Linked DNA regions of Rattus norvegicus. The protein of the gene in region 1 purifies or fractionates together with the protein of each later gene. This does not show direct contact. Links are inferred from orthologs where the notes say so. Each region holds a gene or a part of one and is shown in the gene's direction. Other genes may lie near its edges. The genes, in order: Tsc22d4 and Nrbp2.

Region 1 (7,046 bases):
GCTCAGCTCCCAGCGCCCACACTGAGTGGCTCACAACTCCCTGTAATACCTGCTTCAGAGGATCAGATTGCCCAGCAGCCTCAGGCACCTGCACCAATGGGCACATTCCCACAACCAAACACACACACACACACACACACACACACACACACACACACACACACACACACCAAATAAACTGTAAGACGGGCACATTGGGGCATCCTTTTGTCAGCATTTGGAAGGCAGAGGCATGCAGACCTCTGAGTTCAAGGCCAGTGTGTTCCGAAGCTCAACAGTGAAGTGTTGAACTGAACTAGCATGCCTAGGTTAACTCACGAGCACTGAGTCTACCACGATAAGAAAGGTGATGAGAAGTTTCCATGAATGTCAGGTGTGGCGGCTGCGTTTGTAATTCTTGGACTCAGTTGTGTGAAAGAAGAATCAGGATTTACTTGGCTACCAGCTTGGGCTATTAAGACCTTGTCTTAAAAAAAAATTATGTGAGTCAAAGCAAGGAGTCTAGATATCCCCATAGAAACCTGAATTCTGCTGTAGAGAAACAATGAAATGCTTCTGAGCCTCAATTTCCCTCTTTGAATATCTGCATTCATGCCATCTTTCTTCCCTTTGAGAAAAGGTGAAGGCTTAAAACTACTTTTTTGGGGTTGGGGATTTAGTTCAGTGGTAGAGCGCTTGCCTAGCAAGCACACGGCCCTGGGTTCGGTCCCCAGCTCCGGAAAAAAAAAAAAAAAAGAAAAAGAAAAAGAAAAAGAAAGAAAAGAAAAAAAACTACTTTTTTTTTTTTTTGGCAGAATCTTATGTAGCCCAGGCTAGCCTCTTATTCACTGTCCCAAGAATAACCCTTCCCTCTAGAGTGCTGGGATTACAGGTGTGTAATTTACAGTAGTTTACCGATGCTAGAGATGGAACCCTGGTCTTTATTTATATGAGGCAAGCACTCTACTAAACTATATTCCCAGACCAACCAACAGTTCTTTCTTCTTTTTTTTCCTCCTGTCTGTCTGTTGCTGTTGAAATAGGATCTCATGTAGCTGAGGATGGCCTTGAACTCTTCAGCCTCCTACTTCTATGCCATCCCCCATGATCTGGGATTATAGGCATGGACGCACACTGCCACAACCACCTAGAACCCTTCTGTTTGAATAAAACTAATTAGAACCTATCTCCTTCCAAACCTATGAGTGACAACAGATGCTGCCTTTAGATCCTGCTCTGGCTGGAAGACTCTTGCCCAGAAGCCACTTCTGAGTGCCAAGAAAGAAAAATGGCAGTTGGTAGCTTGTTTTTTTTTTTTTTCTTGCCAGTCGCAGAATATACCCTTTATATGTGTGTGGATTCTCTATAATGATGAAGTGATAGTATGGGACAGGTGGGAAAGGGTTGGAAATGGGGAAGAGTCTATGCCTGCTGGGATTGGTTCTCAGGTATACCTATGGGGTAGTCCTGTGGACATAGGTGTGTGTCCGGCCACTGTGGGGAAACATAGGTGAGCAAGTTCACCTTCAGGTCTACCTAAGTGTTTGTGTGAGGGACAGATAAAGACGGAGATGAGAAGGTGGCAATGCCTATCCTGGGCTGAGGAGAGGCTCAGCAGGCAAAAGCCCTTGCTACTCAAGCATGAGGATCTGAGTTCAAATCTTCAGCAGTCCCATGAGAAGCCGGGGCATAGCCCTGTGTGCCTATAACCTCAGTGCTGTGGAGAAGAGATGGGAGGATTATTGGGGTTTGCTGGATGCCTACCAAGCTGTGCGTTCAATGAGAGACCCTGAGTAGGACACCCAGTGTGGTCCTCTCACTAACAAACACACAGGTGTTGCAACCGCTCATGCATATGCACACATGCCACACACACACACACACACACACACACACACACACACACGTGTCCTACCACCAACAGCCTTCTTGTATGGTCTGCTTCTCCAATTTTCCCTTTTAAGAGAGGGAAAGACCGTATCAGAGGCTTGATTTCCAATACAGGAGCATGATAGATAGGATGGCTCAGTGGGTAAAGGGCCTTACCAGCAAAGGACCCCCATTATTAGTGGAAGAGAAAACGAACTCCTCCAAGTTGACCTCCAGATGTATACACACACACACACACACACACACACACACACAGAGAGAAAGAGAGAGAGAGAGAGAGAGAGAGAGAGAGAGAGAGAGAGATCCAAATATTGCAGCAAAATCCGAGAAAAGATATTGGAGGGACGAAAACACGATTGGGCAAAGCTGATAATTGTTACAAGTCCATGATGGCGCGCGTGGGCGTTCATTATCCTATTTCCTCTACTTTGGGGCATGTTTGAAAATTTTCATAACCGCTCATTTTTCAAAACAGAGTGGGGAGGGGGAGTTTCTCGTGAACTTACGGTGAAAACCAGAGACGCCGTGACAAATCACAGCCAGTGGGTCACACTTACTAGGTATTTATAAACAGCCAGGTACCCAGAACATGTCCAGCACGTTCCTTGAGACTCTTTTGGAAAGCCTGCAGCCCAATGGCACCAAAAGCCCACAAGTAAGGGAATCCCTGGCCTCCCGCAGGCTCCTCCTTTTTCTCTCCGCCCTCCATGCCCCTCCTTCCGAGGAAGAGTTGCCCTGAACCTGGCAGGTATAGGGTTAAAGCAGCCAGTTTGGGGCCGCAGCAGCAGCAGAAGCAGCAGCGGCGGCGGCAGCAGCTGCAACTGTAGGCTGCGGCTGCGGCTGCGGCTGCGGCTGTGGCAGGCCTGGCTCCGGGCCAGCTGGCAGAGAGCCTCAGGAGGGAGGAGGGAGGAGGGAGGAGGGAGGAGGGAAGAGGGAGGAGGAAGAGGGGAAGGAGGAGGAGAGGAGCAGTGAGCAGGCCCGAGAAGGCAGGACTTCCTGGTGTGGGGGTTGTCAACAGCCCAGAAAGAGAGAGCCCGAGACCCAGACTGAGACGGAGCGGAGCGGAGCTGAGGAGCCGAGAGATACATCCAGTGGGGCCACGTGGGAGGAGCCTTGAGAGAGAGCGAGCCACTCAAGGGACTGGAGTCAGCGGGGGGCTGAGCCGCCCCCTCCCACAGCAACAGAGAAGACCCGTGGAGTGTTAACGGAGGCTGCGCCTGGGCTCCACCGTGGAAGCGCTGGTTTCTTCTCGTCTCAACTGCAAACTTTCCACCGAGATGCCTCGCAGAGTGAGATGCGGACGCCAGAGAACACTGGGCAGCCCTTGACTGCTGCCTGCCGTGGCCTGCGCTAGGCCGCCTTAGGATTAAAAAAAAAAAAAAAAAAAAAGGCATCTTTAGTCCCCAGGTCCTCTCTCCAGCTCAGCTCGGTGGCCGAGGCCCGAGAGGTAGGTAGTTTTCTCGGGCTGGGCGGGGCGCGCTTGGCTTGGCGGGCAGTGCCTAACCAGCGATGGGGGAGCTGGAATGGGGGTGGGGTGGGCTTGAGGCCCAGCAGAGGCCTCAGGGTGGCCCTTTCAGGGGAGGAGCCGGTTCACCCCTTTGCCCCTGGCCCTGGAGATACGTGTTGGGGACGACTTTGGATTTCAAGCATGAAATGTTCAACTTTGGGTCCCAGCTGCTTCTTCCTGTTCTGGGTGCTTTGAATTCTGTCCCCTCCGCTCCGGTCTGTCATTTCTACTTGTCTCTGGGTCTCTAGTGGCTTTCTTCTTCCTCCCCCCAGTCGGCTCCCCCGAGAGGAAGCCCCGGAGGTGGTTTGGCCCCTGCTTTTTCTTTTGCTCACGTACACACACTCTCGCTCACTTTCTGTCTCTTTCTTTTTCCAGTTTGCAAGCTCAGCTCTGGGGTTTCAGCAGCGACAGCAGCAGGAAAAACCTGCCTCTGCTCCCCCCCCCCCCCCTCCTGCCACCTCCCCTCTCCAGTCACTAACCAGGCACCCCCAAGTTCCCACAAGGCCCTCCTGCCATGACGGACCCAGACGTCCCCAGGGGCCCTGATGTCCCTGCCATGTGGCCCCCTTGTTCCAGAGGTGCCTGAGCCCCTCTTCAGGAGCCCAGCCCCTCCCCCACCCCAGCCCAGTCCGGAGCCCTAGGGACCATGAGTGGTGGTAAGAAGAAAAGTAGTTTTCAGATCACCAGCGTCACCACGGACTATGAGGGCCCAGGAAGCCCAGGGGCTTCGGACCCCCCTGCCCCTCCGGCTCCCGCTGGGCCCCCGCCCCGCCTCCCCAACGGGGAACCCAACCCTGATCCAGGGGGCAGGGGCACCCCCCGGAATGGCTCTCCGCCACCTGGAGCCCCTGCCTCCCGTTTCCGGGTGGTGAAGCTGCCCCAAGGTTTAGGAGAGCCTTATCGACGAGGTCGGTGGACGTGTGTGGATGTTTACGAGAGAGACCTGGAGCCCCCGAGCTTCGGTCGGCTTCTGGAGGGAATTCGAGGGGCCTCAGGAGGCACCGGAGGCAGATCATTGGATTCTAGGTTGGAGCTGGCTAGCTTGGGCATAAGCACCCCTATCCCTCAGCCAGGCCTGTCTCAGGGCCCCACCTCTTGGCTCCGCCCGCCCCCTACTTCTCCTGGACCACAGGCTCGATCCTTCACAGGGGGGCTGGGCCAGCTGGCAGGACCTGGCAAGGCTAAGGTGGAGACGCCCCCGCTGTCAGCCTCTCCACCCCAGCAGCGCCCCCCAGGGCCTGGGACTGGAGATAGTGCTCAAACCCTGCCCTCCCTGAGGGTAGAAGTGGAGTCTGGGGGTTTAGCAGCCGGAACCCCTCCTCTGTCACGGAGAAGAGATGGAGCAGTTCGGCTGAGGATGGAGTTAGTTGCTCCAGAGGAGACAGGGAAGGTAAGAGATGGGCTCATGGGGGGCGGGGCAAGACCTACTGTACTCAGTCGTCTGACCTATATCCTGGGCCTCCCCACCTCAACTTCCGTCTCCCCCCCCAATCCCCTATATTGGCTGCCTATTGGGTAGAGCATAAAGTCCCCTTTTCCCTTTTTACAGTTTGAACTGTGAATCCTTTCTTTTTCTGTCCCAGGCCTTCATTACTCTGCACACATTTACACCTTCCTTCCTCCTTCCTTCCTTTTCCCCTTTCCGTCTTTTTTTCTTTTCTCTCCTTCCTCTGTGGCCTTCACACTGTTGCCCTTGGCCCTGACTGTTTCCATAAAACCTGTGGCCGATGTGGCCTGCCCACTTCAGCCTTTACCTTCTCTGGCTCCAGGTGATGAGGGTGGAGGTTCCAGCCTGGTGGCTGGCTAGGCCCTGGAGGGGAGGAGCTGGCAGGGGTTTGGGGCAGCCATAAAAGGTAGGCATTCCTCTGGGTCTTTATTCTAACCAACAGCTACCAGCCCAGCCCCATTTTCAGCCTTACTGCAAACCAGTTTCTCTGAGGAATTGGGGTAGGGGGTGGGGCATATCACCCTTGGTTGGTTTTAGTACCCTAGACCTGGGCTTCTGGAGTGTGGGATGGGGTGACCTCATCGACCATTGAGTGGGAGGTAAGGAAGCAGTTGGGAAGGAGTTAAATCCTCTGCACTTTCTGTTTCCTGTCTCCAAAAGAGGAAGCTACCCACAAGTCTGGGCTGGGGGCAGGATGCCTATGTGCCTGGTGTGTGTGTGTGTGTGTTTGTGTGTTTGTCTATTTGTCTATGTGTGTGTGTGTGTGTGTGTGTGTGTCAGTGTCTGTGTCTGTCTATGTGTGTGTGTTCAGTGTGTGTGTGTGTCTGTGTGTGTGTCTGTGTGTGTCAGTGGGTATGTGTCTGTGTGTGTGTCTGTGTGCCAGTGTGTTTGTGTGTCTGTGTGCCAGTGTGTGTCTGTGTGTGTGTCTCAGTGTGTGTGTGTGTGTCTGTGTGTGTGTCTCAGTGTGTGTGTGTGTCAGTGTGTGTGTGTATGTGTGTGTGTGTGTTGAAGGTTGGGTACTTAGAGATTGGAGAGTTGGATGTTTCTGCTGTGGAGAAAATAACATCTTGGCTGCCACAGGGAAAGCAGGGAGTGAGGATGAGGGTTCTGTCTCTTACTGGCCATGGGCTCAAACCACAGTGTAAAAATATCTTAAGCCTTTGAGCCCTGTTAGAACTGGTCAGGACCAGCTCTCCCACCCTCTCCTGGCCTTCAGCTCCCCATTTCATGGCCCAAATTTCCCATCTTTCTCGTGTTTTTTTTTTTTTTTTTGTTTGTTTGTTTTTTTTTTTTTTTTTTTTTTTTTAAACTCTAGCCTCCTGGATAAGCTATCGTTTCTTGTCCCCAGACTCCAGACTCTCCGGGACAAGTTCCTCAATGACTCTTTGCTCTACTTTTGTTAAATTTATTCCTTTAATTTGTGTGCGTGAATGTGTTGCAGGCCTGTGCATGTCTTGGTGTGCATGTGGAGGTCAGAGGACAAATCCTTCCGCTGTGTGACTTCCACCATGTGGGATCAAACTCGGGCTCAGGCTGCCAAACTTGGCTGCAAGCCTCTCCACTCCCTCAGCCATCTTGATGCCCCTCTGCTCTCCTCAGGCACGGCCCAAGCCTATCTTGGGTTTGTAGACCCTGTTTCTTGCCCCACAGTGTCCCCAGCGCCCCCCCTTCCTTCCTCCCAATCGGCCTCGATCATTTCCTGTGTGCCTGTAACTGTCACTATTTCCCTGCCTCCAGAGTTAGACTTTCTTCATTCAGCTTTATGGTCTGAAAAAGAGCTGAGGGAGGTTGACTGAGGACAGGAGGTGGTTGATACCTGTGCCCCCTTTGCAGAGCTCTGTCCCTCTAACCACTCTTGGCTTTCCTGAGGTAGGGGCCTCTCAGGGGCCCTTGTAGAGGCTTCTTGTCCAGTTTCTGTCACCTCCACCCTTTTACAGCTGCCCCCAGCATCTGCCTGTTGGGTTATGTAGGTCCACACCCAGTCTCCTCCCTCCCCTCCCATTCTCACAAAGCTCCACCTCCCCCAAAGGCAGAGTAGAGAATCTTTGAACGCCATCCCAGGTCCCCAGAAGTTGAGGCCACCATCAGGGTAGTGGGTGTGGAGAGGCGGTTTCTGAGGAGTCCTTCACTCTGCAGACAGCCACGGAACAAGCTTACCCTCAGCACGGGTGACACAATACATGCTTTAATTTCAAGTCCTATTAGATGCCATGAAAAATGAGA
Region 2 (6,852 bases), on another chromosome or scaffold:
GGCACATCAGAATGTCCAATCAACTCTGCCTTGTTTTTCCCATTTCAGAGGTCAACGATGGGACTGCTGTGGACATCTTCTCCTTTGGGATGTGTGCACTGGAGGTACTGTTCACTCTCCTCATAGCCTCTGCTTTGGCTCTACTCCATCTCACCATTTCCAATTTGTGCCCTGCACCCAGATGGCGGTCTTGGAGATCCAAGCCAACGGGGATACCCGAGTCACAGAAGAAGCTATTGCTCGGGCCAGGCACTCGCTGAGTGACCCCAACATGCGGGTGAGCAGCTTAACCCCTCTAGGACTGGCTGCAGGTCTTGGGCTTGCCCTTGAAGCCCTCTAGGTAGGCTAGAGGTGTAGTCTGGTCAGTACATTTGAAAGTGTTAGCATCTGAAAGCGTAGCTGGCGGACTGAGGTCACCTCAAAGGAAGACTCTTCTAGGAGCTCACGGAATTTCAAGAGGGTGAATGGAAGTAGGGCATGGGTGTTTGGAGCCCAAGGCCTTCCTGCCCTCAAGTTTACAGAATCAGATCCTGAGCTGCTAATGGGATGCCTTCTCAGGCAGGCATGATGGAGGACATCATTGTGGAGGTGGGAGGATGCAATGATTGGACCCGTGGGGTCTAGGGTCTTGAAAGATCTCCTCTAGAGCGAGGATTTTCCACCCACCACTACCTTTCTTCCCCACAACCTAGGAATTCATCCTCTCCTGCCTGGCCCGGGACCCTGCCCGCCGACCCTCAGCCCACAACCTCCTCTTCCACCGAGTGCTCTTTGAGGTGCACTCGCTGAAGCTGCTGGCAGCCCACTGTTTCATCCAGCACCAGTGTGAGGGGCAGAAGGGCCGGGGTGGACCAGGATCCTGGGGTCAGATCATGGAAGGGTCTTTGCAGGACCCTTAGGTTGGGTCCATCCCCATGGGCATTTCTGTGGTTCACAGACCTCATGCCTGAGAATGTGGTAGAGGAAAAGACCAAGGCCATGGACCTCCATGCAGTGTTGGCTGAGATGCCCCAGCCCCATGGACCCCCAATGCAGTGGCGGTGAGTGGTGGCAAATGAGGCTTCCCCTCCTAACTGCTTGGCTAGGCTTTGGCTTGATGCCTCTTATGTCTTATGACACCTCTTCCATACCATCCCAGGTACTCAGAGGTTTCCTTCTTGGAGCTGGACAAATTCCTAGAGGATGTCAGGTGAGAGCTGGCATGACAGTGAAGAAAAAACACTATCAGACCCGAGTCCCCACCTACCTACCCCCTGTCTATCTCCAGGAATGGCATCTATCCACTCATGAATTTCGCTGCTGCTCGGCCCTTGGGACTTCCTCGTGTGTTGGCCCCACCCCCAGAGGAGGCCCAAAAGGCCAAAACTCCAACCCCAGAACCCTTTGACTCGGAGACCAGGAAGGTGAGTCCCAACTCCTGCTGTACTATGCTGTTTCTCAGAGTTAACCACAACCAGGGAATGGGTGCCTCTGGGGACCTGTCTCTGTCCATCCCAATTCTCCCCCAGGCTTCCAGAGACCAAATCCAAGCTGACCATTTTTCCCCAGAGGCTTCTTGCTTTTACAGTCCTTCCCCATCCCATTGCGTGGTCTCTTCCATAGGCTTTTGGCCACCTCCATTCCCCATCTGGATCCAGAGCCATCACTCTGATCTCCCCCATCCTAGCTTCCATCCTTCCTCAGCACACACTAAATTCAAATGCCAGTCGTCTACATGTCCTGGATCCCAGCTGCACAGAGAGCTAGTAGAAATCAGCCTCAGGGGGTTGGGGATTTAGCTCAGTGGTAGAGCGCTTGCCTAGGAAGCGTAAGGCCCTGGGTTGGGTCCCCAGCTCCGAAAAAAAGAACCAAAAAAAAAAAAAAAAAAAAAGAAAAGAAAAGAAAAAGAAAAAGAAAAGAAATCAGCCTCAGTCCCCTGTCCTGCTCCTGGTGGCACCCCATTTTTCTGTACTGTTGCACCCTGAGACACAGCATTTCCTTGCTTTCCACAGTTCTCTTTCTCTGTCTCTGTCTCGCTGTCTGTTTCTGTCTCTCTCTTTGTCTCTGCCTCTCTCTGTGTGTCTGTCTCTGTCTCTCCTTCTGTCCCTCTCTCCCTCTGGCATTGTATTCATCATTCAGTACCCAACAGAAGGCTACTACTCTTGGAAGCCTTCCCTAATACCTCAGGGATGGTGCAGTAAGATGTGTTTTCCGGACTTCCCTTGGAGATGTCTACCATTTTTTGGGTCTCTGCTGATCCTTCTGGGCTCCTTTGTTAAATAATACTCTGTGGCTAATACACTTCCCCTGCCACAGGTGGTCCAGATGCAGTGCAACCTGGAAAGAAGCGAGGACAAGGCTCGGTGGCACGTGAGCAAGGGCCCTGGGTGGGACTAGGAAAGACGGGGACCAATCAACTCTGGCACCGCCCTGACCACGCCCTTCCGTCGACAGCTTACTCTGCTTTTGGTGCTTGAGGACCGGTTACATCGGCAGCTGACCTATGATCTGCTCCCAAGTAGGCTGGTAGGGGATCAGGTGGTGGGCTGGGGCTCAGGCACCGGCTAGTGCCACAACTCACTTGTCCTGTGTTCTCTCTTCAGCCGACAGTGCCCAGGACCTCGCCGCCGAACTAGTGCACTATGGCTTCCTGCACGAGGTGGGCGGGTGCGCCTCGGGTTTGGAAAGGTGCAGTCTGCCGAGCTGCCCAGTACTACCGTGCTTCCCCACCCCCTCCACTGCAGGATGACCGGACAAAGCTAGCAGCCTTTCTGGAGACCACTTTTCTCAAGTACCGTGGGACACAAGCGTGACCTTTCCAGTCCTGACAGCCCAGCAGAGATACCAGGACTCAGGGTTGTCCACTTGTCAAAGAGCCCCACACTGCTCAAAGCTGCCTTCTGCCTGTGTTCCCTGGAACTGAATACAGGTCTTGCTAGTGAAGACCCCTCCCCCACAGCTTTCTGCAGCAGTGTGGGACCCTGGGGTGGTGATGGAGCCCTGAGCCTGGATGGGAGTGGATACAGGTCAGTTAGGGGACCCACACTCTATCTGGTACTGGACAACAGCCATGCCTTCAGGTGGCAGAAACCTAGGAAGGAGCCTGGTCTCAAAAGTAATAGGGCCCTTCAGGTGTCAGACACAGTGCTGGGCATCAGGCAGACCAAACCTGACCTGATTGGAGACTCATAGATTAGAGAGCTTGGATTAGACCTGTGGCCAGGAAATTCCATGGTCACCGCTCAGACCAGTCCCGATTGCCTTGCAGACCTGCCTTGAGCCGTCTCTCTGATCTTTCACACATTTGAGACCAGGACCTGTGTCCTCCACAAAGCCCTTGGGTAGGATCTTTCTGTTCATCAACCCTCTGGCCTAAGGGCTCAGAGGTCAGGCGTCCACTGCATCCCCTCCCCGGGGAAGTCAATGTGTTTGAGTCTGAGGATGTGGGTTCCTCTTTCTCCTTAACCCAACTTGTCTCTCATTCTTGCTGATTTCAGAGTCCTGGTAAATTCTTCCCCTCAGAACCACCCTGATTTCTTGGTTCTTGAACCGCCTCCTCTCTTCCAACTTCAAATTTAAGGTCTTAAACGTTTTTAAATGTGTATATAAATGTAATGCCTCCACGTTCCTTTTGAAACCTTCACGTGTGAAACCAGGAAGGCTCACTACTGTACTATTAATAGTTCCACATTGCTGCTGTTAACACATATCATAGACCCAGTGGTTTGAGACAACACACATACAGTTCTGTACATCAAAAGTTTAATACTAGATTAAGACCCAGGCTAAGTTCCTTTCTGGAAGTTGGGGCTCACCTCCTGCTCCTTCAAGCTATTGGCAGAATTCACTTCCCTACGATGGTAAGGTAGAAATTCCTGTTTTCTTACAGCTGCCAACTAAGAGCCCTTCTCAGCTTCTAGAGGCCACCAATTTTTCTTAGCTCTTCTTCTATCCCCTTCAAGACCAGCAGCATCAAGTTGAATCTTGTCATGGACTAACTGTCTGGTTCTCCACTGCTGGGGAGTTTCGGGGCCTTTTGTGAGTTGGTTGGACCCACCTGGGTAACCTGGGATGATATCCTTCTCAGGGTCTGTAGATTAACCACATCTGCACAGTACCTTTTGCTCTGGAGACTAATCATCCTGGGTCTTGGTGCTTAGAGAGTAGACGTGGATGGTGGATGTCGTTACTATGTTGCCTTCCATGCCACCTTAGCCCAAACCAAAACCTATATTAAGCAAAGTTGTCATGGGACATTTAATAAATTAAATGAACTCTCATTGTGCATGGTCTGACATAGTCTATTTTTAAAATCCACAACAGATTGTACAGATAATTAAACTGAACTTGTAAGCACCAGTGCTGTACTTTAGCATTTTTTTGGTTTGGTTTTGATTTTTTCATGATAGGGTTTCTCTGTGTAGCCCTAGCTGTCCTGGAACTCACTATGTAGACAAGGTTGACCTTGAACTCAGACATCTGCCTGCCTCTGCCTCTCAAGTGCTGGGATTAAAGGCACGAGCCACCATCCGGCTGTTCAGCTTATCATTAGGATACAGCCCTATTTGCCTGGAATTCAGAATCCAGACCAGGCCGGTGCTGTGATTATAGGTATAAGCCACTGTGCCTTACTGCAAACATAGTGTTTTAAAAGTTGACTTGCCAGGCAAGGTCAACAGTGAGTAATCTTCTACCCTGATTTAACACAAATTCAAATCTCATAGCCTCAGCCTGTGTATTAGTCAGCGTTCTCTAGAGTCACAGAACTTATGGAATGTCTCTATATAGTAAGGGAATTTATTGCAATGACTTAGTCTGTAGTACCCAACAGTGGCCACCTATGAATGGGAAGTCCAAGAATCTAGTAGTTGCTCAGACCCACAAGGCTAGTTTCAGCTGCTCTTCTGTATAAGATGGATTCCTGAAGAAGTAGGTTCCAACAGATGTGCTGGCCTTGCTTTATCCCATGCTGGTCTTGAACTCAGAGGTCTGCTTGCCTCAGTCTCCTGGGATTAAAAGTATACATTAGCTTGCCTGGGCCTAAGCTTTTCATGACCACTATGCCTCAAGATCTCCATGCCAAGGTCCGGGTCGGAAGCCTGTGTCTTCCAGTCTCAAGATCTGGATCACAGTTGTAACCTCCATTTCTGGATTGTAATTCATTCCAGATGTAGTCGGGTTGACAACCAGGAATAGCTGTCACGGCCTGGAACTCACTTCATAGACCAGGCTTGCTTCAGATTCACATAGTGCTGGAATGAAAGGCAAGTGCCACTGTGCCCAGCCACAAGCACAAGCATGCTTTTAGTCCTGTTTAGTGGGTTTTATATGGTAGGTGTCTCCTCGTGGCAGTCTTTAGGGCTAGTCACCTGCCAACCTTCTGTCCCAGCATCAGCCCAGTTTGATGGGCATCACCGATGAGTATTACCGTTCCATCAGTGTAGGTTTTAGCAGAGAACAACCTGTCCTACATTGTATTTTGCCTATTGCACAATTTTTTTTGTTTTCTCTGAAGTTAATAATTTTCCTTTTTAGTTCTTTTAAATGGGGTGTGTGTGTGTGTGTGTGTGTGTGTGTGTGTGTGTGTGTTGTGCCACAGCTCATGAGGAGGTCAGTCAGCAACCTGAAGGAGTTAGGTTCCCCCCCCCCCCCCCCGACTATGTGGACTCAGGGATTTAACCCAGATTATCAGGCTTGGTGGCAAGCCCCCTTAACTGCCGAGCCACTCCCCAGCTCTGCTCCTCTGTTATGTGTTTGCCATTGTCTTTGGGCTCCTCTCAGTATTTAGGACCCAGCACAGTGACCGAGCCTGCTGCTTGTTCTTGTGTTGTGGTTCGGTTCTTGGTGTGCGTTGCCCTGCACCAGGATCTGCATGCCTCTCTCTTCTCTCTGGCTCCTGTGCATTCCTCTTCATTTACCCCACAGGAAAAGGAACAGAAAAGCGGATGGGAAATTATGGAATTGACCTGTTTATCCTTATTGGAATCTTAGGCGTTTGAAAATGTAAGGAGGTACAAGACATTTGTTTAGCTGAAAACCCTCTCTCCTCGGGACTTAAGGGTGTCATGTTACATTCTTCTAGTTCCTGGAATTGCCAGGCTTCTGGATTCTGACCTTTTGTGTAAGAGCTCTTCTGTTTCTCCTCATCTTTTCTTTGCCTAGTGTTTTGGAAATTATCTATGACCTGCTACAGTTAAAAAAAGGGGGGATGACATTTTCTTGAATTGTTTATTGATTTCTCTCCATTTCTTGGATAAATTATTGAGATGTTGGATTTGTGTTTTCTCTTGTTTTACATTTATTTATCAGATGGTTATGGGTAACCACACTAATGCAGGAGCCGCTCATGAGGGGGCTCAAGGGCACAGTGAAGACTTTTTTCTAATTTAATTTTGTTTCCAATATGTTCCAATCACAGTTTCCTCTTCCATCCCTCCCAGCCTCCCTTCCCCCATCACATCCACTCTCCTGTTTTCTTTTATAAAAGAGCAGGCCTCCCAGGGATATCAGCCCAACACAGCATAACTAGCTATGACAGTCAGGCACACACCCTCATGTCTGGGCTGGACGAGGCAACCCAGGAGGTTAAAAAAAAAAAAAAAAAAAAAAAAGGTCCCAAGAGCAGGCAAAAGAGAGATAGCCCCATCCCCACTCTTAGGAGTCCCATAAAACACCATGCTAACAACCATAACATATACGCAGGGGGCCTAGCATAGGCCCTATGAGCCCTGCTTAGCTGAGTCTGTAGGTATAAATCTCCAATTTGGGCTCTCTCTCCACCTAATGTTTGACTGTGGGCCTCCGCATCTGTTCCATCGGCTGCTGGTAGAGGTAGGTGTCTCTGATGACAAGTGTCCTAGGCGCTCATCCGGA

Evidence for each region.
Region 2: the proteins of Tsc22d4 (region 1) and Nrbp2 purify together in Homo sapiens (affinity purification with mass spectrometry; 3 studies listed by BioGRID and IntAct, counting the BioPlex papers as one, with this or other methods). This does not show direct contact. The link is inferred for Rattus norvegicus from reciprocal best matches to the Homo sapiens genes TSC22D4 and NRBP2.

What each region holds. Positions count from the first base shown.
Region 1 is NC_086030.1:24,584,600-24,591,645, reverse strand, and holds the start of Tsc22d4 (TSC22 domain family protein 4), read left to right. Parts: upstream 1-2,839; 5' UTR 2,840-3,316; intron 3,317-3,751; 5' UTR 3,752-4,022; coding exon 4,023-4,766; intron 4,767-7,046.
Region 2 is NC_086025.1:109,676,813-109,683,664, reverse strand, and holds the end of Nrbp2 (nuclear receptor-binding protein 2), read left to right. Parts: intron 1-48; coding exon 49-104; intron 105-181; coding exon 182-277; intron 278-692; coding exon 693-825; intron 826-937; coding exon 938-1,040; intron 1,041-1,138; coding exon 1,139-1,189; intron 1,190-1,267; coding exon 1,268-1,403; intron 1,404-2,295; coding exon 2,296-2,349; intron 2,350-2,433; coding exon 2,434-2,497; intron 2,498-2,582; coding exon 2,583-2,638; coding exon of another isoform or gene 2,639-2,723; coding exon 2,724-2,792; 3' UTR 2,793-4,335; downstream 4,336-6,852. UniProt on the Homo sapiens protein: May regulate apoptosis of neural progenitor cells during their differentiation.